Linked DNA regions of Mus musculus. The main gene of each other region encodes a partner of the protein of the gene in region 2 in a complex. Links are inferred from orthologs where the notes say so. Each region holds a gene or a part of one and is shown on either strand. Other genes may lie near its edges. The genes, in order: Ints1, Ints6, Ints4, Ints7, Ppp2ca, Ints9 and Ints12.

Evidence for each region.
Region 1: Ints6 (region 2) and Ints1 share a complex: the UniProt entries of both Homo sapiens proteins name them as parts of the integrator complex. The link is inferred for Mus musculus from reciprocal best matches to the Homo sapiens genes INTS6 and INTS1.
Region 3: Ints6 (region 2) and Ints4 share a complex: the UniProt entries of both Homo sapiens proteins name them as parts of the integrator complex. The link is inferred for Mus musculus from reciprocal best matches to the Homo sapiens genes INTS6 and INTS4.
Region 4: Ints6 (region 2) and Ints7 share a complex: the UniProt entries of both Homo sapiens proteins name them as parts of the integrator complex. The link is inferred for Mus musculus from reciprocal best matches to the Homo sapiens genes INTS6 and INTS7.
Region 5: the proteins of Ints6 (region 2) and Ppp2ca are in contact, whole or in part, in a cryo-EM structure (PDB 8RC4), measured with the Homo sapiens proteins. The link is inferred for Mus musculus from reciprocal best matches to the Homo sapiens genes INTS6 and PPP2CA. Residues at the interface, in NP_036273.1 of Homo sapiens: Leu20, Gly21, Thr22, Asp26, Lys29, Gly30, Glu33, Lys78, Asn79, Gln81, Asp575, Glu576, Asp577, His580, Ser581, Val582, Pro583, Ile584, Ala585, Met587, Gly588, Asn589, Tyr590, Tyr593, Leu594, Met626, Met627, Ile628, Asp629, Glu630; in NP_002706.1 of Homo sapiens: Arg89, His118, Val126, Tyr127, Pro172, Trp200, Pro203, Asp204, Asp205, Arg206, Gly207, Gly208, Trp209, Ile211, Pro213, Arg214, Gly215, Tyr218, His241, Gln242, Leu243, Val244, Met245, Glu246, Tyr248, Asn249, Trp250, Cys251, His252, Arg254.
Region 6: Ints6 (region 2) and Ints9 share a complex: the UniProt entries of both Homo sapiens proteins name them as parts of the integrator complex. The link is inferred for Mus musculus from reciprocal best matches to the Homo sapiens genes INTS6 and INTS9.
Region 7: Ints6 (region 2) and Ints12 share a complex: the UniProt entries of both Homo sapiens proteins name them as parts of the integrator complex. The link is inferred for Mus musculus from reciprocal best matches to the Homo sapiens genes INTS6 and INTS12.

Annotation. Positions count from the first base shown.
Region 1 is NC_000071.6:139,772,879-139,777,115, reverse strand, and holds the start of Ints1 (integrator complex subunit 1), read left to right. Parts: upstream 1-1,437; 5' UTR 1,438-1,645; coding exon 1,646-1,784; intron 1,785-2,537; coding exon 2,538-2,828; intron 2,829-4,237. UniProt on the Homo sapiens protein: Component of the integrator complex, a multiprotein complex that terminates RNA polymerase II (Pol II) transcription in the promoter-proximal region of genes.
Region 2 is NC_000080.6:62,695,113-62,698,612, reverse strand, and holds part of Ints6 (integrator complex subunit 6), read left to right. Parts: intron 1-1,657; coding exon 1,658-2,020; intron 2,021-2,820; coding exon 2,821-2,914; intron 2,915-3,500. UniProt on the Homo sapiens protein: Component of the integrator complex, a multiprotein complex that terminates RNA polymerase II (Pol II) transcription in the promoter-proximal region of genes.
Region 3 is NC_000073.6:97,536,456-97,539,955, forward strand, and holds part of Ints4 (integrator complex subunit 4), read left to right. Parts: intron 1-1,444; coding exon 1,445-1,565; intron 1,566-3,500. UniProt on the Homo sapiens protein: Component of the integrator complex, a multiprotein complex that terminates RNA polymerase II (Pol II) transcription in the promoter-proximal region of genes.
Region 4 is NC_000067.6:191,620,636-191,624,190, reverse strand, and holds the end of Ints7 (integrator complex subunit 7), read right to left. Parts: intron 3,027-3,555; coding exon 2,727-3,026; 3' UTR 501-2,726; downstream 1-500. UniProt on the Homo sapiens protein: Component of the integrator complex, a multiprotein complex that terminates RNA polymerase II (Pol II) transcription in the promoter-proximal region of genes.
Region 5 is NC_000077.6:52,097,667-52,101,623, forward strand, and holds the start of Ppp2ca (serine/threonine-protein phosphatase 2A catalytic subunit alpha isoform), read left to right. Parts: upstream 1-1,157; 5' UTR 1,158-1,382; coding exon 1,383-1,484; intron 1,485-3,957. UniProt on the Homo sapiens protein: Catalytic subunit of protein phosphatase 2A (PP2A), a serine/threonine phosphatase involved in the regulation of a wide variety of enzymes, signal transduction pathways, and cellular events.
Region 6 is NC_000080.6:65,037,293-65,040,335, reverse strand, and holds the end of Ints9 (integrator complex subunit 9), read right to left. Parts: intron 2,991-3,043; coding exon 2,853-2,990; intron 2,061-2,852; exon of another isoform or gene 1,904-2,060; intron 1,064-1,903; coding exon 887-1,063; 3' UTR 501-886; downstream 1-500. UniProt on the Homo sapiens protein: Component of the integrator complex, a multiprotein complex that terminates RNA polymerase II (Pol II) transcription in the promoter-proximal region of genes.
Region 7 is NC_000069.6:133,094,855-133,098,354, forward strand, and holds part of Ints12 (integrator complex subunit 12), read left to right. Parts: intron 1-1,893; 5' UTR 1,894-1,902; coding exon 1,903-2,058; intron 2,059-3,500. UniProt on the Homo sapiens protein: Component of the integrator complex, a multiprotein complex that terminates RNA polymerase II (Pol II) transcription in the promoter-proximal region of genes.

The DNA.
Region 1 (4,237 bases), on a different chromosome or scaffold from region 2:
TGTGGTTTGCCAGCATCCTACATAGGTTCTGGGGGACGCTGCCCAACCTTCCCCAAAGGGTCCTCAGCAGGGCTCAGGCTGAGCTGGGTTCCACTGTCACTGGGTTAGGATCTACTGGAGTAAACAGACTCCCCGCCATTTTGTTTGATTTTGCTTTTGTTTTGGGTCAGAGTCTGTCTATGTGGCTCCAGCTGTCCTGGAACTCACGGAGATTCACCTGCCTCTGCCTCCTGAGTGCTGGGATTAAAGGTGTGTGTGACCACACTGTGACAACTCATCCCTTTTTAAAATCTAAATTTTATCTATTGTTATTGTGGGTATGAGTGTGCATGATGTGAATGTACAGCCATGCACACCACAGCACACGTGTAAGTCAGAGGACAAATTTGTAGAGTTGGCTCAGCAAGCTCTTTCACCTACTGACCCATCCTGCTTACCCTGACATACTGTTATTGTAGCCCTGGCATCACAGTAAGAAAGACCCTGAACTGCAGGCACTGACAGGTATGGGAGGTGCGCTCCTGGGGCTGAAAACCAGCTCTCTGCCTGAAGCTCCCTTTGTGCCACAATGTTCAAACACATCCTTTATTCAGCCCACAAATGTTTACTATATAGCTCTGGGCTTGCTGGCACCAAGGAGGCTGGCCATCATGGGGACAATCCATTAAGGGCGCTTGAGGGTCTTGGGCTCCCAATCCTAATTCTATGACCTTGGAATGTCTATCTGTCTGTCTATATGTGTATAGATACACTCAGACATTCACACACATACATAAACACACATACATATATATGTATACACACATACATGTACACACACACAAACATGGTCTCGGGACCATGTCTGGAATTTTGTCTTTGTCCCAGCAGCTGGACAATCTATCTGGGACTTCCTTAGAGGAGACCTGCAGTACCTATCCTGATAGCTCCATGTAGAGGTCTCCATGGAGAGGGAGGTACCCAAATCAGGTGAATCCAGAGGCCATTGACAGAGGTACCCAAATCAGGTGAATCCAGAGGCCATTGACAGAGGCCTTCAACATTTTAGAGCATGTATCAATATGAAAGTAGGATTTTGACTTTTTTGTTGTTGTTGTTTTTTGAGAAAGGGTTTCTCTGTATAGCCCTGGCTGTCCTCGAACTCAGAAATCCGCCTGCCTCTGCTTCCCAAATGCTGGGATTAAAGGCGTGCGCCACCACCGACCGGCTGGATTTTGACTTCTTGAGCTAGGATCAGATTTAGCTCCAAAACCGTAAGAGGGAACAGTTTATGCCCAACAAGCCCAGCTTTCAGACAGGCATAGGTCCATCCAGCCTCCGGCCGCCAGAGGGCGGTGCAAACACTAGTAGGCTCTGCCTGCCTCTCTCCTCTCTTCCTCGCCTTCGGGTTTGTTTTACTTCCGGTTATGTGAGAAATCAGCGCTCGGAAGGCTCGCAGATCAGTTTGCACTTCCGGAGCGCCCGTGTCTCGGGTCTGCAGAGTGCTGCACCGGAGGTGAGGGGCCTTTGCACCCAGGTGAAGTCCGCTCCCTGCGGTGACATCCGTCTCCGCAGTCGGCCGCGTGTGTGCCGCACTTGGCCCCTTTCTGTGACCCCGGTAGGCGGCCCTGGGCACTCGGTCCAGTGGCCCCGGTGCGAGGGATGAATGACTGAGCGAGCGAGTGACTCCCGCCGCCTCCTCCCAGGTGAAGGCGCTTCCTCTAGGGGCGCCCGGGCCGCGGGGAGGATGAATCGAGCCAAGCCCACCACCGTACGGAGACCCAGCGCGGCCGCCAAGCCCTCAGGTGCGTCCCTGCGCGCGGCGACCTCGAGACGGTCAATGAATGGGTTCCATGAAGGCCGGCATGGCCACTGAAGGGGTTCCTACGGGACATAGTTAACTTGGGACTGTTGGGAGAGCGTGGGCATCCAACACAGCAGGACAACGGTCATCCAACCCAGGCTTCCTGCATACATTGCTGTCCTGAGGGGCTCCTAAAGGACAAGGGCATCCTTGTCCTGCTGAGCATCTGGCAAGGACAGGGTACCTGGACCAGAATCACAGTCTCTGAAGCCGGATAATCTAGACTGGGGTCCTAAAGTTTCTTCTTGCTAACTGTGTGACACTGGCACATTACTTAACTTCTGTCTATTTTGTTTTGTCTTGTTTTGTTTTGGTTTTTTCGAGACAGGGTTTCTCTGTGTAGCCCTGGCTGACCTGGAACTCACTCTGTAGACCAGGCTGGCCTTGAACTCAGAAATCCTCCTGCCTCTGCCTCCCAAGTGCTGGGATTAAAGGCATGTGCCACCAGTCCCCTGCCTAACTTCTGTGTCTTTATTTGTAAAACGAGGGTCATAACTTTTGAAGAAGCCCGGTGAGAATTAAGTAGACAGTGCTTATGAGTTACAGATGGCTTAGTTTCTAGTCAGCACTGGATCAGCGTCAGCCATCGCTTGCTCTGCCAGGGTGGTTGGACAACCTCAGGCTTTACTTTTGTCTCTTGGGGGCCCACTCTGAGATTGGGTATCACAGGTGTGGGTTTTCTGTTCCTCTGCAGGGCACCCTCCCCCTGGGGACTTTATTGCTCTGGGGTCCAAGGGTCAGGCCAGTGAATCAAAGACAACGTCCACCCTGCTGAAGCCAGCCCCTTCTGGGCTACCCTCAGAGCGCAAGAGAGATGCTTCAGCTTCTCTGTCTGGGACCTCTGCGCTGACCGGCCTCACTAAGCGCCCCAAACTGTCCTCCACTCCCCCACTGAGCGCCCTGGGACGTCTGGCTGAAGCCGCAGTTGCAGAGAAGCGAGCCATTTCTCCATCGATTAAGGAGCCATCTGTGGTGCCCATTGAAGGTAAGATCAGACTGCCAACTTCCCCAGAGAGATTCCTTCATCCTGTCCATCTGCCCAGTGCCCGTGGGAGCCACTTCCAGCCTGGTTCTGTTAGCGTAGTGGGGTCTTGGCTTCCTGTGGGCTCGCTGCCTGGCATTGTGAACAGATGCACCTCCCATTCCCACAGTGCTCCTGGTTCCTCGTTCCATCATTTATCTGGCCTGTGTACAGCCTGCCCCTGGTTGTGACAGCACTGTTCTGAACCGTGCTGGGACAGGTGCGCAGGCTGTGGTGGCATCTAAGTGGTTCTAGCCCGGTCCTCCAGTGGAAGGGGATTCTTTGCTCACTGTCTTTGCCTCCAGGACAGGGAGCATTTTGGTGCCATTTTCCAGGTAGAAAATAGGTCCCCCAAGTACCAAAGAGACCTCAGAGGAGAGACGAGTGTCCCTGAAGTTGTGCAGGGGTCTGACCTTCTCCTCCTTCTTGTCATTTATCCCATGACTTCTTTGACAGTGCCAGGATTGAGCCTAGGTCCAGATGCACACAAGGCAAGTGTTGTAACCACTGAACTCTACAGCCCAGAGCCCCTCAGTGACTCATAGCAGCTCCATGATGCCTTAGCATAGACCTGTCACCCGCTAGCTATGTGCCAGCCTCTGAGCACCTAACATTCCAGTAGCAGACGCCACTGTCTGCGTGTCTGCTCCGAGCCTTTCTAAGGGACTCCTTCCTGAGAGCCAAAAAGGACAAGCATCCTGTCCTCTAGCCTTTAATGAAGCTGTATCTCATGAAGCTACGTTGTCCCTTGGTACTGAGATGTCATTTGAAAGGCTCAGAGGGTGCCTGTTACCTCAGCTGCTTAGGAGACTGAGGCAGGCAGATGAAAAGTTCAAGGTGAGCCTTGGCCACTTCTTAACTTGACCCTGTATGACAGTAAAAAAGTAAATTGAGGGATATGGATATAATTCAGTGGTAGAGCCCCTGCCTAGAATCCCCCAGTGAGGGGCTGGGGTGTGGCTCAGTGGTAGAGCCCCTGCCTAGACTCCCCCAGTGAGGGGCTGGGGGCGTGGCTCAGTGGTAGAGCTCCTGCCTAGAATCCCTCAGTGAGGGGCTGGGGGCGTGGCTCAGTGGTAGAGCCCCTCCCTAGACTCCCCCAGTGAGGGGCTGGGGGCGTGGCTCAGTGGTAGAGCTCCTGCCTAGACTTCCCCAGTGAGGGGCTGGGGGTGTGGCTCAGTGGTAGAGCCCCTGCCTAGAATCCCCCAGTGAGGGGCTGGGGGCGTGGCTCAGTGGTTGACCGGCTGTCTAGATTCCCTCCTTGAGCACTTGCCAGCATTTCTGAAGCCATTTGTTGAGGAAAACGACACAGACTCTGGTGTATGGTTTCTGGGAGCTCAGAGCCTCCGTGTGCTGGTGAGGCCCATCTGTGTTGC
Region 2 (3,500 bases):
ATCTGGCTCCTATTTTTCCAGCTATTGTCATCACTCCAATTAAATGGCTGCAGCTAACAGACAGTGTAAACTGGCCATTAAGTCTGGTGTTTACTTGATAGATACCATAGTGTGGGATGTTAGAACTAGATCATTGGAACATTGTTGAAAGTGACCTAGCATGGGCTTAAGCCTCATAAAGAAGAAGGTGGAGGAGTTGCTGGAGTGAAAGTTGGTAGACATTGGTGCTACAGAACTTCATAAATTTGGAGCATGCAAGGGGAGTGCTTGGGGTCCTTGTTAAACTGCTTGTTATCATGCAAGTCAGGACTGGGCCACAAAGGAAGCATTTCAGAGGCTTTCCTGAGGCTTCCTTGTAAGAACCTCCTAGAATGTTAGGAGGGACTTACGAATGTACAGTGAACGAGGTGCCAGAGCATGTGCACTGAACTCAGTATGAAGAGAATTGTTCAAAAGTGCAGGAGTTTTTTTGCCTTTTTTTTTTTAATGGTTTTAGAGTTTTATTGTAGAAAGGCAGAGAGAAAGAGAGAAGGTAGAAAGAGAGAAGCCAGTCATGACCACGTGGAGAGAGGGGGAAAAGGAGAGCTAGAGATGAGAGTAAGAAAGTTGAGAGCGTAAGAGCTTTTTTTTGGTTTTTCGAGACAGGGTTTCTCTGTGTAGCCCTGGCTGTCCCGGAACTCACTCTGTAGACCAGGCTGGCCTCAAACTCGGAAATCTGCCTGCCTCTGCCTCCCAAGCGCTGGAGTTAAAGGCGTGTGCCACCACTGCCTGGCTGCTTTTTTCTTTATAAAGAATTAAATACAAGAGATTTTAAAATTACATTTAAGAGGTGAAAGAGTCAGTGACTATCTCACTTTTACACTCATGAGAAAGCAATTTCTACTCCACATTTGAGAAGGAGAGAAGTGGCTTGTTTGTTTTATTTTTTAAATAGGAGAGTGTGGTTTTCATTAAAGCAGAAATTACCGTGATTTTCAGCCTTAACCTTAGACAAAGGCTGAGAAACAGTTGTGGAGAATAATCAGTGAAGAAGTGTTTTCAAATCATGGGGTATAATTCAGAAAGTATGAGAGAGGGAGATGGAAGGAGTAGAAACCAGGTCTTTACATTGAGAGGTAGAATAGAAGGGTTTAGCTGGTGCCCTGGAGGCTGGTGAATAATCAAACTTAGGGGTCATGTCTAAGAATCTTATATTTATTGGCAAGCTAGTAAACTTTTGGGTCTGCTGGTCTAATGAGCTGAAGTGGGCACCAGATTACTTTGCATGGCTAGGAACTGAAAGGATAGATAGAAAACAGTGTGCTCTGAAATGTAATGTGCCTTATTTGGTGTTCCTTGCAGAATCTTGAGCAATAAACACCACTCAGTGTTTACTTTTCTCTTTAAAGAATAACAGGTTTATAAAGATAAGTAGGCTTAAGATGAGGTAGGTAGGACTCTTAAGCCAAAAATGGCAATTTTAGTGGTGTATAAACTGAAAACTGGTTTAGTTACTTTGCTAAAATAAGGTAGAAAACAGGCTACAGTTGTTTCTATTTTAAATATGTCATAAGTTTAAATTTTAGTTATTTGTAGTAATTGTGTTACTTTAGCATTTTTATTCTGTACTTTGATACCAGATCTCACTTTTCGTTCCGTTTCTTTGGTTTCATTTCAGAAGCCACTAATGATTCAATAGTAGATGATGTGGTTGAAAATCATGTTGCTGACCAACTTTCATCAGACATGACACCAAATGCTATGGATACTGAATTTTTAACATCTCCCCCTAATCTTTTGGAACCATCAACCAATCATACAGAGGCCCTTGGTCATGAACATTTAGGAAACAATGACCTCACTGTTGGTGGGTTTTTAGAAAATCATGAGGAGCCAAGAAATAAAGAACAAAGTGCCGAAGAGAATATACCAGCATCTTCACTCAACAAAGGAAAGAAATTGATGCATTGTAGAAGCCATGAAGAGGTCAACACTGAACTAAAAGCACAAATAATGAAAGAGATCAGAAAGCCAGGAAGAAGTATGTATAATTAGAGACAAAACTTACTAATTTCTTTGTCTTCAATTAGGGAAAACCAAGTCAAATCAGTAAAAGCATATGTATTATGCTAGATTACTCATGAAGTAATATCTGAATTCTTTAAGGTTTAATTTCAGATTCAGCTGGAAAACACTAAATAATCTTGGTACTCAAGGTGTTCTAGTATGGGTGGTAGATAGCAGAAAGTCTTTATCTAGAGATGTAGTACATGTACTTGCCATGACAGGGGCACAGAATCTTGACTGTTCTAACTAGGAATTGAAATTTTACAACAGCTAACCCAAACAGATAGGGTGGATAATACTACATGACTTGGTGTTCGGTTAACAGTGTATCTAAGAGGTAGAGCACCTGTATAGCCCAAATTCAATTCTCAACACTGTCTTGTGTGTTTGCAAAGTTCCTCTCTACTGACTGTCACTATGAATGAATTATGATAGTGACCTTCATCATGTGCTTAGGCTCCAAACCAAAGTCGTAAGGCCATCACATGAATGCAAGAGAACTCTCGTGGTACAAGAATTGTGCATAATATTGGCATCCATTCAGAACATAGCTGACTCTGCTGTGGTGGTGTAATAAGAAAGTGGAAGGGTCTTGAGCACACACACATACAAAGTGCTTAGAAGGTTTTATTTTTGGTGATACATACTTTCATGCACATACATGTTAACAGTGGTCTGTAAAAGCTTTGAAGAGTGGTAATATTTTTATGTAAAATATTTTTTGTCTGAGTATAGAGGCAGTTAATTGATTTTCCTTCTCTCTCTTTTTTTAAGAATATGAAAGAATCTTCACCTTACTGAAGCATGTGCAAGGCAGTTTACAAACAAGGCTAATATTCTTACAAAATGTCATTAAGGAAGCATCCAGGTAAAGAAACTTGTGTGTTTCTAAACAATAATGAAATAGTTTTTGGTTTGCATATATACTTGAATTGCATTAGTTAGGCAGTTGGGTTTATGTATGTGCATGGATTTGATTAATTGAAATGTGAATTAGCTTAAAAGAGGAAAAAATGGAAAAAAGTTGCACACGTCCCTTATCACTCAAAATATCAATGTAGAAAGGTAAAAGAAGTTAAAGATGTACAACACCACCAAAAAGCAATGGAGAAATTAATCAAGAATTTTAGAAGAATATAATAATTTACCAGGGAAAAGTCCATAATTTCTCAAGGATTTATGTGCCTACTTCAGCTTGGGCACACTTCTACTTGGAATGCTGAAGATAAGGCTATGTGTTTTCATATAAGTTGAAATACTTAAGTTATTCTACTTTTAATGAAAAGTCTGTTCTGTCTTTTGTTCAGTTCAAAGCATGCCTTGAATTTTTAGTGTTGTTCATTTTTGAGATAGCATCTTCCCACATAGCCAAGCTAGCCTCCATCTTAGGTTTCTTCTGCCTTAGTCTTCCAAATGCTGGAATTATAGGTATGTGCCCACATGCTAATGCATCT
Region 3 (3,500 bases), on a different chromosome or scaffold from region 2:
AGTGTGTGTACTAAGGGCACGTCTGTATTCCAGCCAGAGGGCTTAAAGGTGTGTGCTAAGACTGAGCCACACCACAATTAGAAATAAGTAATTTCAGTAAATAACACAATCTCAGGTTCACAGTGTGATCAAATATCCTGCAATGGGTGTGGGTACGTCACAGATCATACCCACAGAACTTCTGAGCGAGTAGAAAGCTGTAACTGCAGTGCTTCTTTGTGTTTTAAGGTTAGCCACCCTAGCTGTACTTGTAGTTGCTTAGAAACTGATGACCAGTCCTCATCCGGCCTATACCAGTTAAGTCAGAATCCTGAGACTGAGCTCAGAGGTCTTAGTCTGATGGACACTTGTTTTGTTGTGTAAACAATCGCAGGTGGATTTACAGGTCATCTGCTAAACTATCCCGAAAAGAATTTACTCTAAAACATCTCTACTGCCTTCCAGGCAAACACTTGCCTGCATGGGGTGTAATGGGGATGCTTTCTGCCCTGTCATGAGACATCTGTAGCACTTTCAAAGTCCAGCTTCCTTACTCGGAACATCAGACAGAGGTGAAAACCTGCAACTGTCAGCGTGCCTTAGAGACTTCATGGAGGCTTTATTCTCCCTTAAAATTATGGATTTTCTTTGGTTTTTTTTTTTGTGTGTGTGTGTTTTTGCATTTTTTTAAAGTTTGTTTTAGCTTTTAATGGGTTCAGACAGAGGCTTTCTCTATTGCCCTGACTTCCCTGGAACTTTCTATGTAGCTCAGCCTGGCTTGGCCTGACCTGGCCTGGCCTCAAACTCACAGAAATCTGCCTGCTTCTGCCTCCCAGGTGGAGGGATTAAAGACATTTGCCACCAGGCCCAACCGGGTTGTCTATTTTTAATGCAGCTTCACTGAGAAAGCTTCGGGGCTCTGGGGCTTTGTCCCTCTCCTCCTCTCCACTCCTCACCTCACCTCTTAATACAGGATCTCACAGACCAAGCTGGCCTCCACCTTGCTATTTGAACGTCCAATCTTCCCAATTCCATCCCAAGTGCTAGGACTGCAAGCAGGGTGCTTGCACGTCTTTCCACAGTTAGCCCCATTCTCTACTGTCTGTTAATAGATACACCATTCCTATCATTCACTTACCAGGGAGCTAAGAAATAGTAGCTAGACACTGCTTCTGCTAGTGTGGCCCTACCCCCCCCCCCTTTATTTTCAGTTTTTTGAGACGGGGTTTTTCTGTGTAGCCCTGGCTGACCTGAACCTCTCTCTCTAAGCAAGGCTGGCCTTGAACTCAGAGCTCGCCTGCCTCTGCCTCTCAAATGCTGTGATTAAAGGTGTTTCTCCTTTAAGAAGCAGTTTTTATATAATGGCTACAGTCATCTTCCTGCTAATGATTTTGGGGACACAGTAGATGTTATCAGTTTTCTTAGCCCATCTATTTTCTGTTGCCCCATTTCTGTCATATTGTAGGTCTTATATCCAGATGGCCAGGCTCAGATGATCCACCCCAAGCCAGCAGATTTCCGGAATCCTGGCCCAGGACGGCACCGTCTCCTCACTCAGGTGTACCTCTCCCATACTGCCTGGACAGGTAAGAATGTGGGCTGGGTAGGCAGGAAATAAGTCCCCGATGATCTTTCCCATTGTGATTCGCTTGTTTGTTTGTTTGTTTGCGATAAGATGTCACTATTCCAGCCTTAGCTGGCCCAGAACTCTGTATATAGACCAGGCTGGCCTCCAATTCTGCCTGCCTCTGCACCTGCCTCCCCAGTGCTGGGATTAAAGGCATGTGCCACCATACCCTGAGTGAACTTGCTCTCATAAGTAAGGAAGCTCAAACATCTGTATATTTGGACTAATTTGCTGTTTGCACAAGGAAGACACTCAGAAGACTCTAACAGTGTGGAGACTCATGGGAGACTCATTCACTTCACACCAGGAAACTTGCTTTCTTGTGCTCACTGGGCCTGTGATATACATCATTCTCTCTCGAGTCTTCCTCTTCACTTCCAAAATGAAGATAATAATTCTCAACCCATAAATTACTGAGGATTATTCTGGAAATTAAAGTTTCGTGTTTCTTAACAGACATTATAAATCATTATCTCTTTGTATATGGACAGTCCAGCTTATTTCACTGAAACAAATCAAATAACAAGTAGCTGTCCTTCTGATCCCTATGAACTGTTTGGAGCTAATACAGGTGTTTAGTTTTACAGACTTAGAACTGAACCTGGATAGCTAATGTCTGTATGTGCACAGACAGACAGACAGACAGACAGACACACAATCTATAATCTGTAAGAATACAGTGGGAGAATACAGATGTGTAAAACTTTTACATTTCAGGCCTGTGAAGCTGCTTGGAGAACTTCAATCTGCAGGTCTTAATGGGCCTCAGTCGGTTACGGTGGTGTTTCTCAGTCACTGGGGAGAACTTGGGAATATGACTTTTACTAGGAAAGGGAATAATGCCACCAATTTGGTTTAATTAGTAGAGGAATACCATCTAGAATTTTATATTTTATTTTATGTTTTAATCTTTTTTTTTCCTTTAAAACAAGGCTTCTCTGGCTGTCCTAGATCACTTTATAGATCATGCTGGCCTTGAAATCACAGAGATCCGCTTGCCTCTGTCTCCTGAGTGGTGGGATTTAAGGTGTGGGCCATTACACCCAGGTTAAGAGTGTTTTGTTTGTTTATTTTAATTCTGAAAAAACAAAAAGGTAAAAAGCAGTTGAACACACTGCTATTAACCTCTGGCCTCTGACTCACACTTGTGGATATACATGTCCCAGTGCAAAGCATACATGCCGAACTATTTAGTGCCGTTAGAGGTTTCCTTCTGTCAGACCTGTTAGATGCATAGTGATGAAGTTATTATAAAGAGGTAGTTAGGGTAGCCCCTTCGTATTTCTGTGATCTAGGACCTGGCATTTCAGGGTACCCAGGCTCTGCTTCCCTGAGTGTTCTTTATTCTGTCTCTCTGTCTCTCTTCTTGCACTATTTGTGTGTTTGCCTTTCACTTTCTCTCCTCTCCCATCTTCCTGTGGCATTGGCTTGCACTGCCATTGTTATCAGACACCGGTGAGGGAAGGCAGAAAGACTCTGTTGGTCAGTACTATATGGCGTCCTCTGACTTGCCCAGGGTTTGGCTCCTTGAAAGTACTGTGACTGCCCAGGCACTTGTGATGTGCTGTCTGGGGTGGATTAGGAGTGTGAGGAGAAGGCTGATGCTGGTCTCGCCTGGCTCCACCTTGAGTGGAGGCTGTTGTGTTGGAGTAGCGCTTGTGTCATTGCTACACGCATGGCTGTGTCAGGCCCTGAGTGGTGGGTATGTTTGCTACATGGCCTGTAATGTGAGGCTCACATGGTGCTCATGCTGGCCTTAGTTGCCTGGAGGATAGCAGTCTAGTCTTTGCTCTGACCCTGAGAGACCAGAAATAGAGTTGGAGAGCCATTCGGAGGCCTGAGCCTTTGTGCTGTTTGATTTCAAGCCATCGAGCTCATTCTTGTCCTTTGAACT
Region 4 (3,555 bases), on a different chromosome or scaffold from region 2:
CATCAGCTCCTGCCTCCAGGTTCCTGCTGTTGGACTTACTACTGTGGCTTCAGGATAAGTGAGCCAAACAAACCCTTTCCTCTCCAGTTGTTTTTGATCCTGGTGTTTCAGCACAGCATTAATAACCCTATGACACACAGTACGTAGCTTTTCTAAGGTCACAAACGTAGGTAAAGTTTGAACATGGGCAGTGTAGGTGCAAAGACTATGTTCTCCTCACCTACTTACACAGAACTCAGTAAGTACCAAGGAAAGCAGGCCTGCCTTCTGAAAGGCAATTACCAAACAGGGAAACACACTGATTTCCTACCCAGCCTGCTTATCTTTTTTTGGGGGGGATTATCCTTTAGTGTCAAATTTTTAACACAATCTTCTTCCTGAGTAACTACTTAAAGGTTGATTTAAAAACAACCCACTACAGTGAACATACAGCCAGACAATGCCACTCCTGGGTCTTCTGGACAGAGTCCGGTTTGCTTCAGTTACTTTCACACTCAACGATCAGGACCTGCTTTTATTTGTTTTCTAAGTCTGTTGGGGTCTGGGGGTCACCACAGTACATGGAATCCAAGAGTTTATAACCACAAGTATCAAAACATCTTAATAACATAAAATGTGAGGGCCACAAAAGAAATGAGTGTCTTACTAGATTTACATTCTTTCTGGAATCTACTGTGTAACAGTGCCAGAGACCTGCAACTCACTCTACAATATCAGCTACTTAAGAGTGAAAAAGGACAGGCTGGGCGTGGTGGCACACGCCTTTAATCCCAGCACTCAGGAGGCAGAGGCAGTCTGAGTTAGAGGTTAGTCTGGTCTATAAGCAAGTGGTTGGACAGCCAGGGCTACACAGAGAGATCCTGGATCCCGTCTTCCAAAAAAAAAAAAAAGAAAGAAAGAAAGAAAAAAAGGGTCTTCCTCTGGGTGCTAAGTCAGGCCGGTGACAGAGTAAGTGGGACTTGGGTCCTCAACCAAGTTCAATCTCTGGCATTTTCCCCAATTTTCTTCACCACTATCTTTTTTTTTTTTAATCCAGTTGCCTGATAAAGCTGAGTTAGAGTGGAGAGACCTAGCCTAATTCAGTCATTTGCTAAGAGGCTGACTCTACAGAGACACGCGACTCACTGCTGAGCCCAAAGTGGAACATTGACTCAGCTCTTTCCATATCCAGCAAAGGACACGGGCTCCGCACGGGTCTTCCCTCGCACTCTGGCATCAGTCCCCAGACGCTGACCAAGTGCCGACTGTGCACCATGTGCACTGAGGTGGCTGGGGGGGGAGGTCACTTACAGTGGATACAGTAGACTTGCACAGACTATGACAAGCAGAATGGGCTATGCAGAGGTAACATCTCACAAAGCAAAGTGACCTCAGGGGAACCCAAGTTGTCGATCACTTCTCAGTCCCTGGGGTGATGCGACAGGAAAAAACAAAAACCAAACTCCATTTAAAAAAAGTCAAGTCCTCTTATGAATCAGTATGACTTTGAAGAGAAAAAAAAGGTAAAACACAAGCAAAGAAATTAGGAGATTTATTTACACAGGGAAATCCAGGGCTCATGCCCTTAGCAGCCCACTGCACCCAACACCAATGACCACAGGGGGTATCGGCAGGCTCAGCTCATCATATTAACCGTGGTCCAAAAGCACTGAGCAGCCATAGTCAACTGTTAAATCAAACCTAGAATCAGTGTGTTGTCATGTAGTTTCTGACCATGACTCAAGTAGAAAAAGGGCTTTTCTGGCTAGCCAGAGTCTGTTCCCTGAGCATCCCAGCTGAGGTTACGTCTCGGAGATAGCTGTCTAGACATCAGGTGTAGAGTAATACGTCATCTAGTAGAAACCAGAGCGGGGAAGGATCTGTTCCCTTTACATCAAACAGGAAGACATATGTGAACCACATTCCATTTGTAGAAAAAAAATATCAGAAGTCCACACTAGTCACATACCAGAAAAAACAACACATTCATTTCCAACCTTTCTAGCTGGAGCTGTTTTTTGGGTCAATCAAAGACCAAAACAATAAACTAACATTGCTTCAGGACAGAAGGTGGGTAAGAGGTGCCAATGCAGCAGGCCGCTGAGCCTGTGGCCCACAGGCTCCCACAGACCAGAAGGCAGGTGCGGCCTCTGTGAAGGCCTCATTCTCCAGCCCAGGACAAGCACTGCACGACTCAACAGTACTCCCTGCCTGCCTCAAAACCCCAGGTCGGGCCAGTCAGCACAATAATTCTGGTAGACAGAGACACAGTCAAATTTACCAATGATCTGTGACTATTCTTGGAAGAAGAAAAGCTCACCAACCACAAAGAATAATACAACAAAAATGCTAAGTGTGAGACAGAAGACTGGGTTTAAGAAATTTGGGCGCACGCCTTTAATCCCAGCACTTGGGAGGCAGAGGCAGGTGAATTTCTGAGTTTGAGGCTAGCCTGGTCTACAGAGTGAGTTCCAGGACAGCCAGGGCTACCCAGAGAAACCCTGTCTCGAAAAAAAAAAAAAAAAAAAAGCACTTTTATTTTGGCTGAGAGCCAGGTTATTTCTTACACTAAATTTTTAAGAAAACAACAACAACAACAACAAAAACAACTTCACCAGAATGTTACATTACAGCTATCAGTGAATACTGGATTTCACACTGTAACATTGACACTTAATGCACATGCGGAAGACTCTTCTTGTAGTCTGATGGCTGTGCAGTGTGGCAGTAGTATGCTTGTAGCACAGCTAAAACCGGGTGTAGGCACTGCGAGGCTGCGGCTGCGGCTGTGGCTGTGGCTGCAAAGGCTGCTGGGCCTGCTGCTGTAGGCGAATCTGCTGGGAGTAGGGGTCTTCCAGGGATTTGACAAACATAGTAGTTCTGGGGCCAGTCTTCCAGACGATGCCATTGGCATCTCTCACCGATGACTCCACTGTGATGCTGTGCGTTCCAAGGACAGCAAAGTTCAACAGGAACTGGGTGCTGAAGTAATCATTATGTGGCTCAACCCTCTGCTCCATCTCATTGGTCATGCTATCAATGGGAATCTAGAACACAAGAATTGTTAAACCAGCATGAGTTGCTTACTCAGTATTCTCCAGGAGCCAGGCCCTGGAGTCTAGGGTGCTGGGAGACACCTGCAAACTGGGACAAGCCACATGAATTCTCATCACAATTCCCAGCAACATCTGAGATCACCCAGCCATAACGGGAGTGTTCTAGACACAGCCCACCGTTTATCACTCAACAAATATTTATAGAGTGGCTAAGGGCTGCATTAATCAAAGAAAAGAAAGGAAGAGAATGGAGACCAAGCCTTAACAGTGAGCAGATTGCAGGCTGAGAGGACAACACTGAAGAAAGTGAGACAGAGGCCACACCAGTCCTCCTTCAGCTTCCTACCTAAAACTGTGATGATGAAATGATCGTGTATGTTCGTGTGTGCACGTGGGTGTGCACATTATATGCTTGCTAGTGTGGGTATGTGCATGTGGACATGCAAGTGTGTATGTGTGAGGACATGAGTAGGAGGCCAGAGGTCAAAGCTGGGTGCTTTTCCTCAATCACTTTCCACCT
Region 5 (3,957 bases), on a different chromosome or scaffold from region 2:
GTGTCTTCTCCGGTGTGTGACAGGCTTGACTGTTCCCCACAGTATAGCTAGGTCAGCTCTTGCCTTGACCTTCATGGATAACCATCCTTTGGCTTCTCTCCCAGACTCTGGAGGGGAGCAGTGTATGACTTCCATCCATTCCATTCATTTCCAGCCAGGAACATTCAAGCTCCACCAGGGCAGTAGCCCCTTTCTGTCTGCATGACCCCTTTGTCCCCTAAGCATGGGATCTGGTCAACAGTTGATGCTCTGTAGAGCCAAGTATCTCTGTGAATGCAGACAGTGCAATGTGAACACGTTTCACAAGCCTCAGAAGAGATTTATAACCAGGTCGAAGGCTGATCCTTAAGAATATCAGCTTCCTTTACAGAACACACGGTAGCTGCTTCTACCAGTACCAGAACACAGCCCTGGCTTGTTCCTCTAGAATGTAGGACAAGATTATTTCCAGTGGGCACAGGTCTCGGAGAAAAGTGCACACCAGAGGTGTTGAAGGCCACAGGAGAGGAAGCAAGGCTTAGGAAGAGGCCAGGATCGAAGGCCCACTTCGGCCCCGCCTTCGTGCAGGGACAGGTGTGTGCTGGGGGTGTAAGGTGCGCGGGCGACACATCCCAGCAGGTACACCTTCCTTCGCCCACGAATGACCTAATTATAGGAGCCTGCAACGGCCAGAGGTGGGGAAGGTCACTCCAGGCAACCTGCCACTAGGCTTGTCCCCAAAGGTGTGTGACTCCCTTGTGGTTCCCAGGGCTGCTGGACTAAGCGCCTTAGGGTTGCCTTTAGTCATCAGGCTGGCAGAGCCCAGACCACATCTGAGAGGTATCACCCAGAGGCCTTCCAGAAACACCAGGTCACAAGGAATAAAAACCTCGCCTACACGGACTGCTCATGCGCCGAGACCGCGCAGGCGCCCTGCGGAGCCTGGGACGCCAGGATTAACCAGCACTGCGCTTGCTCGGACTCGCTTCTTCCCTTCCCCCGCCGCCCTCCCAGCGGGAGGACCACGCCCCAAGAGCGAAGCCACTTCCTTCGGCAGCCAACTCCGCTGCGCTTGCGCCCCGGCTCCACGGTGCGCAGCTCTGGGTCCCGGCCCCACTCCGTCGCCCTCCCCGCGGCTCCCTGACGCTGGCGTGACGTCACCACGCCGGGCGGCCGCCATTACAGAAAGCCGAGTCCCGAGCTAGGGCGAGCGGAGGAGGAGGCACAGCGGCCGGCGGCCGAGCACTGCGGAGCGAGCCAGCGGGCCGGCGCCAGCGCCCAGCAGCCGCCTGGGGCCGCAGAAAGCACCCCGGGAGAGCGGCGGCGGCGTGTGCGTGTGGCCCGGGTGCGGGCGGCGGCGCGGGAGCAGCGCGGAGCGGCAGCCGGTTCGGGCGGGCGGCATCATGGACGAGAAGTTGTTCACCAAGGAGCTGGACCAGTGGATCGAGCAGCTGAACGAGTGCAAGCAGCTCTCCGAGTCCCAGGTCAAGAGCCTCTGCGAGAAGGTGAGCTGCTCTCGGCCGCGGGTGCGGCCTCTGCCCGGGCCCGCCTATCAGGAGGCCGCGGGGACGGTGCAACATGGCGGCACGGAGGCCAGACCCCCGAACCTAGCAGCCCGGCGCCCGGCGCTGCCTGCGGCGACTCGCGAGGGACCCGGCGCCCCCCGCCTCCCGCGCGCTGATTGGATGGCGCCGCCACCGCGGCCTAAAATGGCGCCGCGCGCCGGACTCCGGGCTTCGGAGCCTCCGGGCCGAACCCGGCCCGACCCTGGGAAGTGGGGCGGCCGGGACCCTCGGTGGCCCGGCGAGGGACTGGCTGGGCTTTGCGCCCGGGAACGGGTTCCGGACTCATGGAGTCAAAGCATTGCGCTTGCACTCGGGCTTGCTTCGTGGAGCGGGCGCTGCCCACAGGGTCCCCCACAGCAGGGCTTGTAGGCCAGACCCCAGCGCCTATGGAAAGGTCACCTCGCTTTCCTGTCGGTCTCCACGCCTCGGCTTCCCCGGAGCCCTGTTTAAAGTGTGTGTTTAACGATTATGAAGGGAGTCGCTAACCCAGTTCCTACGAAGGTCATAGTGGTAGTTTGAAGGGAGGAATATAAAGTTTTCTTAGTTGGACAAATGGAGGATTTGGTGAGTCATACTACAACGAAGAGCTTTGGGATTGGAAATACAGTGTCACATTAATTTATGATGTATATGCTGACTCAAATTGGGTAGTGTGAAACCCTTCTGTGTGTAACGTACTTGGCGTGGAGCCATTTATTTTTGAATGAGCAACATAAACGGGAAGAGAGTCAAATTTTTTATCCTCTCTGGTTGCAAAAGTTTCTTGGATTGTATTTTTGTGGCTACAATCAGCAGTAGAAATCCCCGTGTTGACCGATTTCTCTATTTCAGACATGGAACTGAGTCCACTCCTTGAAGTGATAACTCGGTATCTCAGGTTATCTCATTCCATTGGTTTTCTCCAAGAATTGGGGAAGCAAGTTGTTCATGTTGTATTCTTGAAGTCTTAATTAATGCAATTTTCTATTAGAAAAATGTGTCTCCACTTCATTTTAGCTTTTCTTTTCAGGGTTAATTTAACATTTAATTTTAGTGCAGAATTATGGATTATGTTAGTAATTTGTGTTAGCAGGAAGAACTTTTGGAGCACAGAAGATGCTCATTCTTTTGTGGCTTGGTGTAGAAAGGAGATTCTTGAGGTTGAATATTTTCTGATGACACAATTTTTCAGAAAATGCTGAAAACCATTTTGGTTAAGTCAAATGTAGATTTATCCCTTCCCTCCTTCCTTCCATCCCAAGTATCCCTGGCTGCCCTGGTACTGGTTATGTAGAGCCAGGGTAACTTTGAACTTGTGACATTCCTTGTGTCTCTGCTTCCTCAGGTGCTGGGATGACGTGTGTGTATGTGTGTCTGTCTGTGTGTTATAACACGCCCCACTTGAATCTCTAGTGTTTTGATCTTTGTTTCTCTCACATCAAACAAGGTTGGTATTTTTAAGGTTTAGAAGTAAGCCTTTTAAATATTACTTAGTAAATCTTGCCAGGTCTCAGTCTCTAATTGCTGACTCGGAGTGAAGGGCTTTATGTGGACATTGGATGACTAGTCATTTGTGTGACCACTCATTGGACTGTTCGGTAGACCTGGACACAATTACTTTTCATTTCCCAACTGAGTGATTGTAACTGGCTTTTTCAGGTAAACGGTTTATTTGGTCCTTGTTTCTGTACTTAAAAATAGTTAACACATGCTCCAAGATTACATGCTCTTAAGAAGGCAACCAGAACACAATGAAGAATATGTTATGCATATTTTCAAGGAACTTTTAATCTAGTTGGAAAGACTAGGGTGGCATTGTTAACTTGACCCTCGAGAGCAGTGGTTCTCAGCCTTCCTAATGCTGTGACCCTTTAATACAGTTCCTCATGTTGTGGTGATCCCAGTCATAAAACTATTTTGTTGCTACCTCATAACTGTAATTTTGCTGCTGTTTTGAATTGTAAATATCTAGTAGTGTGCAGGATACCTGATATGTGACCCCTGTGAAAGGGTCGTTCTGGTCCCCCAAAAGAACTGCTGCTGTAGAGTTACCTGGATAGGAAGTCTCAGAAATTGTCTACCTAGCAGATCAGGTTGGCTTGTGAGTATGTTTAGGAGCATCTTCCTTATGTTGAGATGGGAAGACACACCCACTGTGGATGGCACCATTCCCTAGATTGGGAGGGAGGGGTTCTCAATTGTGTAAGGGTGGGGGGAGCTCCCTATGCAAAGGTCCCCAAATGACCTGAGTTTGGCCCCTTCCTTATAGGACTACATGGTAGAAAGAACATACTCCTTCAAGCTGTCCTCTGAGGTACACACACAAGTAAATGTTACAGTGTGAACATGCATTCATTGCTGAGTTTCTCATGAGGTGATATGAGCACCTCTCTCAGATTCCTGCAGCTGTGACTTCCCTACTGGGATGAACTAG
Region 6 (3,043 bases), about 2.3 Mb from region 2:
AAAGAATTGACAAAAGGGGGCTTCCCAGTCTCCCTTTAGTCACCTCAACCTCTAGGCTCGAGTGGGGGTTCTTTTTGTACAAAGTACCTTTCCATAGAATTGAAATGTAGCTGACTTTACTGTTTCTGCTGCTTTTTTGAGACAGGGTTTCTCTGTGTAGCCCTGACAGTCGTAGAACTCACTCTGTAGACCAGGCTGGCCTCGAACTCCGAGATTTGCCTGCCTCTGCCTCCAAGTGCTGGGATTAAAAGGCCATGAACTGCCTGCCAGGTTGTTTCTGCTTCTTGAGACAGGGTCTTATGAGCCCAGGGGGGCCACGAGCCTGCTGTGTCAGAGGATGAGCCTCCAGCACTGGGTGCATCTGCATTTCTGCAGACAGGGTTAATGATTAGGGCAGAGGTGTGGCAGATGTGCTGTGGCGTTTTCACTGCTGAGTGTAGCTGCAGACTTTTCCCCCAGATACTAAGTCATTATTTAGACTGTAGTGCAATAGAACTGGGCACTTTTATAAAAATAATGTTTATTTTTAGCAAAACGGGCCACAGAACAGCGAGATAGGTTTGCCTTCTAATTTGGGGGCTGACCTTTATACGGTGTAGCACTGTAGGAGGGTAAGTCCGAGAGTCACCCCCTGTGAGCCCCAAAAACACAGGCCAGGCATTTTTTTTTTTTCATTTCCCTTAGGAAAGGATGTCTGTCATGTTGTCACCCATAGCTGCTCAGGAGCCCAGAACTGAAAAGAACAGGCCTCTAAACGTTCTTGGGGTCAGCAGTACGAGGAAGTCACACTGGCAGATCCTAGCTGGAGACACCTCTCCTCTCCGGAAGTCATAGGACACCACCAGACTGTCTCTGGGTGAAGGGCCTAGGATGTCACGGATGCCACTCAGAACTTCTGCAGGAACCTGAGGACAAGGTCCCGCAGTCGGACCCTCAGTGTCTCGTCATTGTCACAGATGATGTGAGTGGAGTCTTCTTCAATCTGGATGAGTGTCTCGGCTTCCTGCAGCAGGACAATATGTCCCTTGGCTGTGTCTTCCACCTTAATGTCACTGAAGCCATGCTGTTCCAAGAGAAAAGAGGAGGACAGTGCCTCTGAGAGCAAGGCCTGACTGAGCACTCACTATGGCGTTTACACTCAGCCCAGCTCTGACATCGGGGCCAGAGTCCAACCAAGAGGTTTTATTTATGAAAGGCCCCACGCACAAAACTCTCAGGAAAATAGCAGATTCCTCCACCCTTTCTGAGGCCCTGAGTCCATCAAGCCTCTCAGGTTCTCAGGGAAGAGCTTGGTTGCTGGTCCTGGCACCTGCCTACTTTTGGTCTCTGCAGTTCTGAGCCCCAGGAAAAGCACTGCTCCTCACAGTGAGGTACCACTCACCCGGGGGCTGGCAGCATCTCCCAGCCACCTTTACTGATAAATGAGAACTACAACTAAGTTAGAGTCACCAGGATGAGACACACAGCAAGTAGAGAGCCTGAGGCAGGGACTGCCTGTCCTTTGCTGCAGGACACCCACACGGCCTTGCGAAGGAGGTGAGACAGGGAGTTATAGGCAGGAGAAAAAGGTAAGATCACTGTGGAAAAGCAAGTTATTGTGAGAAATAACTTTCAAATAATTTTCAAAAGTGAAATTGCCAGGCGGTGGTGGCACACGCCTTTAATCCCAGCACTTGGGAGGCAGAGGCAGGCGGACTTCTGAGTTTAAGGCCAGCCTGGTCTACAAAGTGAGTTCCAGGACAGCCAGGGCTATACAGAGAAACCCTGTCTCGAAAAACCAAAAAATAAAATAAAATTAAAAAAATAAAATAAAATAAAATAAAAATGTGAAACTTGAAACCCCTGGCTCCTATCGGGAGCCCGTAAAGCCTCACGGGAGATGGGGTCCTTTATTCATCTACAGAACGGTGGGGAGATCTCAAGAGCAGTTGGAGAAATCAAAAACTAAAGAAAACTGAGCCTGGAACGGGAAGCCTTGTTTTTGAACCTTGAAAGAAGTCAGCAGCTGAGACAGTGTGGTTATCACGGCTTAGCTGGAGAATGTCCAACCCTGCCATCAGGTACTGGAGTTTTCTCAAAGCATACCCCATGCCATCTTCGGGGCCAGAATCCAACCAAAAGGTATTATTTATGAAAGGTTCCACGCACAAAAAACGTCACCCTATCCCCCTCTTCCTAGTAAGGGTGATTATGTGGAGACATTAACATTGACAGAGACAAAACTATAAAGATCTTTAAGGCAGTGCTCTCCGCAGCCTCCTGCACCGATGTAGTCAGGAGTCTCCCTTAGGCGTGGAGAGGCTGCTGCATGGTCAGGAGCACTGTCTGCTCTTCCAGAGAGAGGTCCACGGTTTCACTCCTAGCACCCAAGCGACAGCTACAACTGTAACTCGTTTCAGGGGATCTGGCCACCGTGGGCACCAGGCATACACAGGGTACACAGATAAATATGCAGGCAGAACAGCCCTACACAAAAGAATCTCTCCCTTGAAAGAAGCAGCCACTGGGGCCCACAGGATAGACAGCCACTGAGATGATAGCACAACATCTTCCTTCTTGCCTGTCTCTTCGACCCACCTCTAACGGAATCGCTGACCTTCCAGTCTCACATGCTAGCCCTCCCAGACAGTGGTGCTCTTCCCGTGGGCAGCCTGGCTCCAGGGAGGACAGGCAGCCTGTGCTGTGCTATTCCTGCTGCTCCAGAGCTGGAGACTGAAGACAGGGCTGGTGGTGAGCAGAGACTGGGGACAGCCCAGGAAGGAAGATGTTCTTTGGCTTAGTTCATTTTGAGCCTCTCCTCGTTCTATGACATCCTAGCACCCCCTTCGGGGCAGAGCAGGCCACCAGCTCACCTTCTCCAGGGTCTGCACAAACTGCTCTACGGGGATGGAGCCACTCAGCAGAGGCTTCAGTACTTTGCAGTCAGGAATGTCCTCGTTCACCCGCTTCCTCTTCTTACTGCTGGTGGGCTGGGTGGGCTTGGGAGGGGGCTAGGGCAGAAGGAAAGTGTGGCTCTTGGTGAGTGCCTCTTCACTGACTCCGT
Region 7 (3,500 bases), on a different chromosome or scaffold from region 2:
CTTAGAAAAAGAACTAATTCTGAGGTTCCCCTTAGAGTATTGCTGTTGACAAATTTTGTAGACTTACACCATAGGTTACCTAATTTATGGGCATTTCATTTGTGATGACAGAATTACATAGCAGTACTTTGCTTCCATTTTTCCAAAGAGAAAATATAAAGTAGTGCCTCTGTCCCGTTGTAAGTATTTGTGTAGGCATCACTATTTGCTCAGTAATCTGTAAGACAGACTGCCCTGGGTTAAGTAAACTAGTGTGTCTACAGCTACATAAAATAGGTCATAGAAAGGTTACACTGTGTTTTTCTAGCTGAAACAACAGGTTTACCTCTTTAATCATGGAAATTATAGTAAATGAATTTTCCTCATCAGTGCATTTTCAAATAATCCTCCTGTCATTCTTTGAGATACTATATGTAATATAATTTAAAGCAGCAGTGGAGCCGATTTCATTTTCTTAAATTCTCACTAATATAACTGAGGTGTGGTTACTTTTTCTTTCTAGAACTCTAGCCTTCAAACTCACTATCCAGGCAATCCAGACAGATCAGGGTTTAGTAGAACATAGAATTAGTAATAATTTTTAATTATCAGATACCTTTTTAGAAACTTATAAAAAGCCTGGTGTGTATGTGCGCGTGCATGTGTGTGTGTGTGTGTGTGTGTGTGTGTGTGTGTGTCTGTCTGTCTGTCTATCTGTCTGTCTGTCTGCGCAGGGTATGAGGAGGAAAACAGACGGTATAAGTGAAACCTATTTTCAGCCTGTGCTTTCATATGCCAAGATTCAATGTACAGCAAGTTTGAATGGCATTGTAAGCCCTTGAAAACGGGAGCTTACTGTGGAATTGGGGAGAGACCTTTAACTGTAGCTCTGTAGCTGTTTCATTACTATGCCTTTAAACTTAAGGATAGAAGAGGATTTAAAACCTCAGTATATCGATCAAAGAATTGGACACCAAGGGTATGTTTTTATTTTAATAATTCCTTGCCAAGAAGGTATTTGGAAGAAGGACAACCAGAAATAGAAGCACGTGATAACATTGGTATCAACTGAAAACAAAACTTGTGTGTTGAGAACTTTGCAGCCCTTTGATGTGTGGCTCCACTGTCTGGCCTGTTGTTTAAGCTCCTTAGGACAGCAGTGTTAGACCTGAGGGATCCATGCAGTAGGTAAGGATCATTGTTCAGAGACCTTGCTTTTGAGAAACAGCTTAATGCAAGAGATCCCTCCATCTAAATGCAATATAGAAAGACTGCCACTAATGCTTTCTGGGATATTAAAAATAACAGAGGACTGGGGAGGAAGGAAAATACACAGAAGCAAAACAAGAAACAGTTGTAAAAGCTACACAGCGACTGCGACATGAACCCGCTCTGTGATCCTATCCTTGCCCTCCCCGCCCCACACCCATGAACACAAGATCTCTATTTTTGTGGTAAAAATAAGACTTGAAAAGAGACATTTTAATGTGTAGTAAACTTGACTTAAGAGCAGGCAAGTTACGTGTCATAAGTTACAGATGTGTTATTAGAGATAACTAGGGAGATACCCTGTGATTAAAGATCTTGTCAGTATTAAAACTTTGTCTTTGTAAGGTGTGGTGGCAACACACCTCCAAGTTCACCAGTGCAGAGATGAAGGCAGGAAGATGAAATTGTCCAGCCTGAGCATATAGGGAGATCCTGTCTCAGAAATGTAGTGGATGTAGATACGTGTAAAGTTGGTAACATTCATTGTTCCAGAAGGGAGAAGGAAGTCAGATAATTTCTGTCCTTACTTTGTCTCTAGTAACCTTTCAGATATTTTAAAATATTATAAGCAAGAAAACAAAATAGATAAATGATATATTATTATACACTGTCTAAATTATTCCCCCTCCTGTTTTTTGTCTTTAGGTGTTTGCAATGGCTGCTACTGTGAACTTGGAACTTGATCCCATTTTTCTGAAAGCACTAGGTTTCTTACATTCAAAGAGTAAAGATTCTGCTGAAAAGCTAAAAGCGTTGCTTGATGAGTCTTTGGCTCGGGGCATTGATTCCAGTTACCGTCCAACTCAAAAGGTATCGACCTGAATACAAAGTTTGGAAAGTCTTGGAAGTGTTCAGTGATAACATTTAGATTGTCTCCAAATACTCTATGTAATCATTCCTTATGTCTCAAAGAAATTACATTCTTTAACTTTGTTCTCTTCCCTCATGCCTTCAAAGAACACCCGGAAATGTTAGTGTGGTCTAGAGCAATGGTTCTCAACTTATGGGTCACGACCATTTTGTAGGGGTTGCCTGAGTCTGTCTCAAAACATAGGTATTTACATTACAATTCATAACAGTAGCAAAATGACGATTATGAAATAACAATGAAAATCATTTTATGGTTGATCAGCACAGCATGAGGAACTATGTTAAAGGGCCGCAGCATCAGGAAGGCTGAGAACCGCTGGTCTAGAGCATATGCTATTTTACTACCTGGTGTGCAAAAATTCCTTCTTTGCAATTTAACTTCCAGTTCTTTATAACTATTTGTATGCTGTGAAAGGTATCCAAACTTATTTCTAATTACTCTGTAATGTTTTAAGGATCAAAATATAAGCAACACAGGATTTTTTTTTTTTGACAATGAATTAAATGTGGACAGGATGCTATAAGGGTAAATAAAGGCTGTAGATGACAAAGCCATGTAGCTCCTTTATTGGTAGTGAATGGCAGCAGTATGTGACAAGAGTGTGTGGTTCAGAGTCAGGAACACCTTTTGAACGTTCAGTTTACCTCTTGTAGTTGTGTGATACAGAATTACATACCCTGAAATGTTACAGTCTCTAACTAAGTCTTTCCTAAGTGGTTTGTGGCTATAATGAATTTTTGTGATAATAATCATCCCTGGAAATTAGTATTGCATATTTTTCTTACTTTACAGTGAGGAAACTGAATTTATTTCACCCAACCTTGGCAAAGTGAGGAGACTAAGAACTATCTTGTAGAATTGTAGAAATAACAACAAAATAAGTAAGTTAGCCGGAGTAGTGTCTACCTAGTACAGGCAGACTTTCAGCTAGAAGTTTTATACTATTCTAGATCTGAAACTCCAGGTAACCCAGGTGTGGAGACACAGCTGCCCAACTAAGACGGAAGACAACTATGGCTAGCTTGAGTCTGATCAGAATCTGAAGCATAAGTTATGGCTACAACCCAGCTGTAGTGTCCACAGCTTTCTAGAGTGTAAGCCTGCAAGAGAATGATCACAAAAGAGTTTGGGTGATAAAGGGTCTGTGGTTGCGGTGGCTGTCTCATCGACATGCACACCATGAGAACCTGAGATAGGTGCTGGTTCTGTCTCCGGTTTCCTAGTGAGGCCATGGTAGGAACGGTGGTAGATGGACTAGAGTATGGTATCTTGGTTTTTAACTGGAGACTGTTTAGGTCATTACTTTCTGTGCTTGTTTCTTTTCTCGGTGCTTTCTTCAGGACTTTCTACATGCTAGGCAAGCACTAAGCAGTAGACCCAG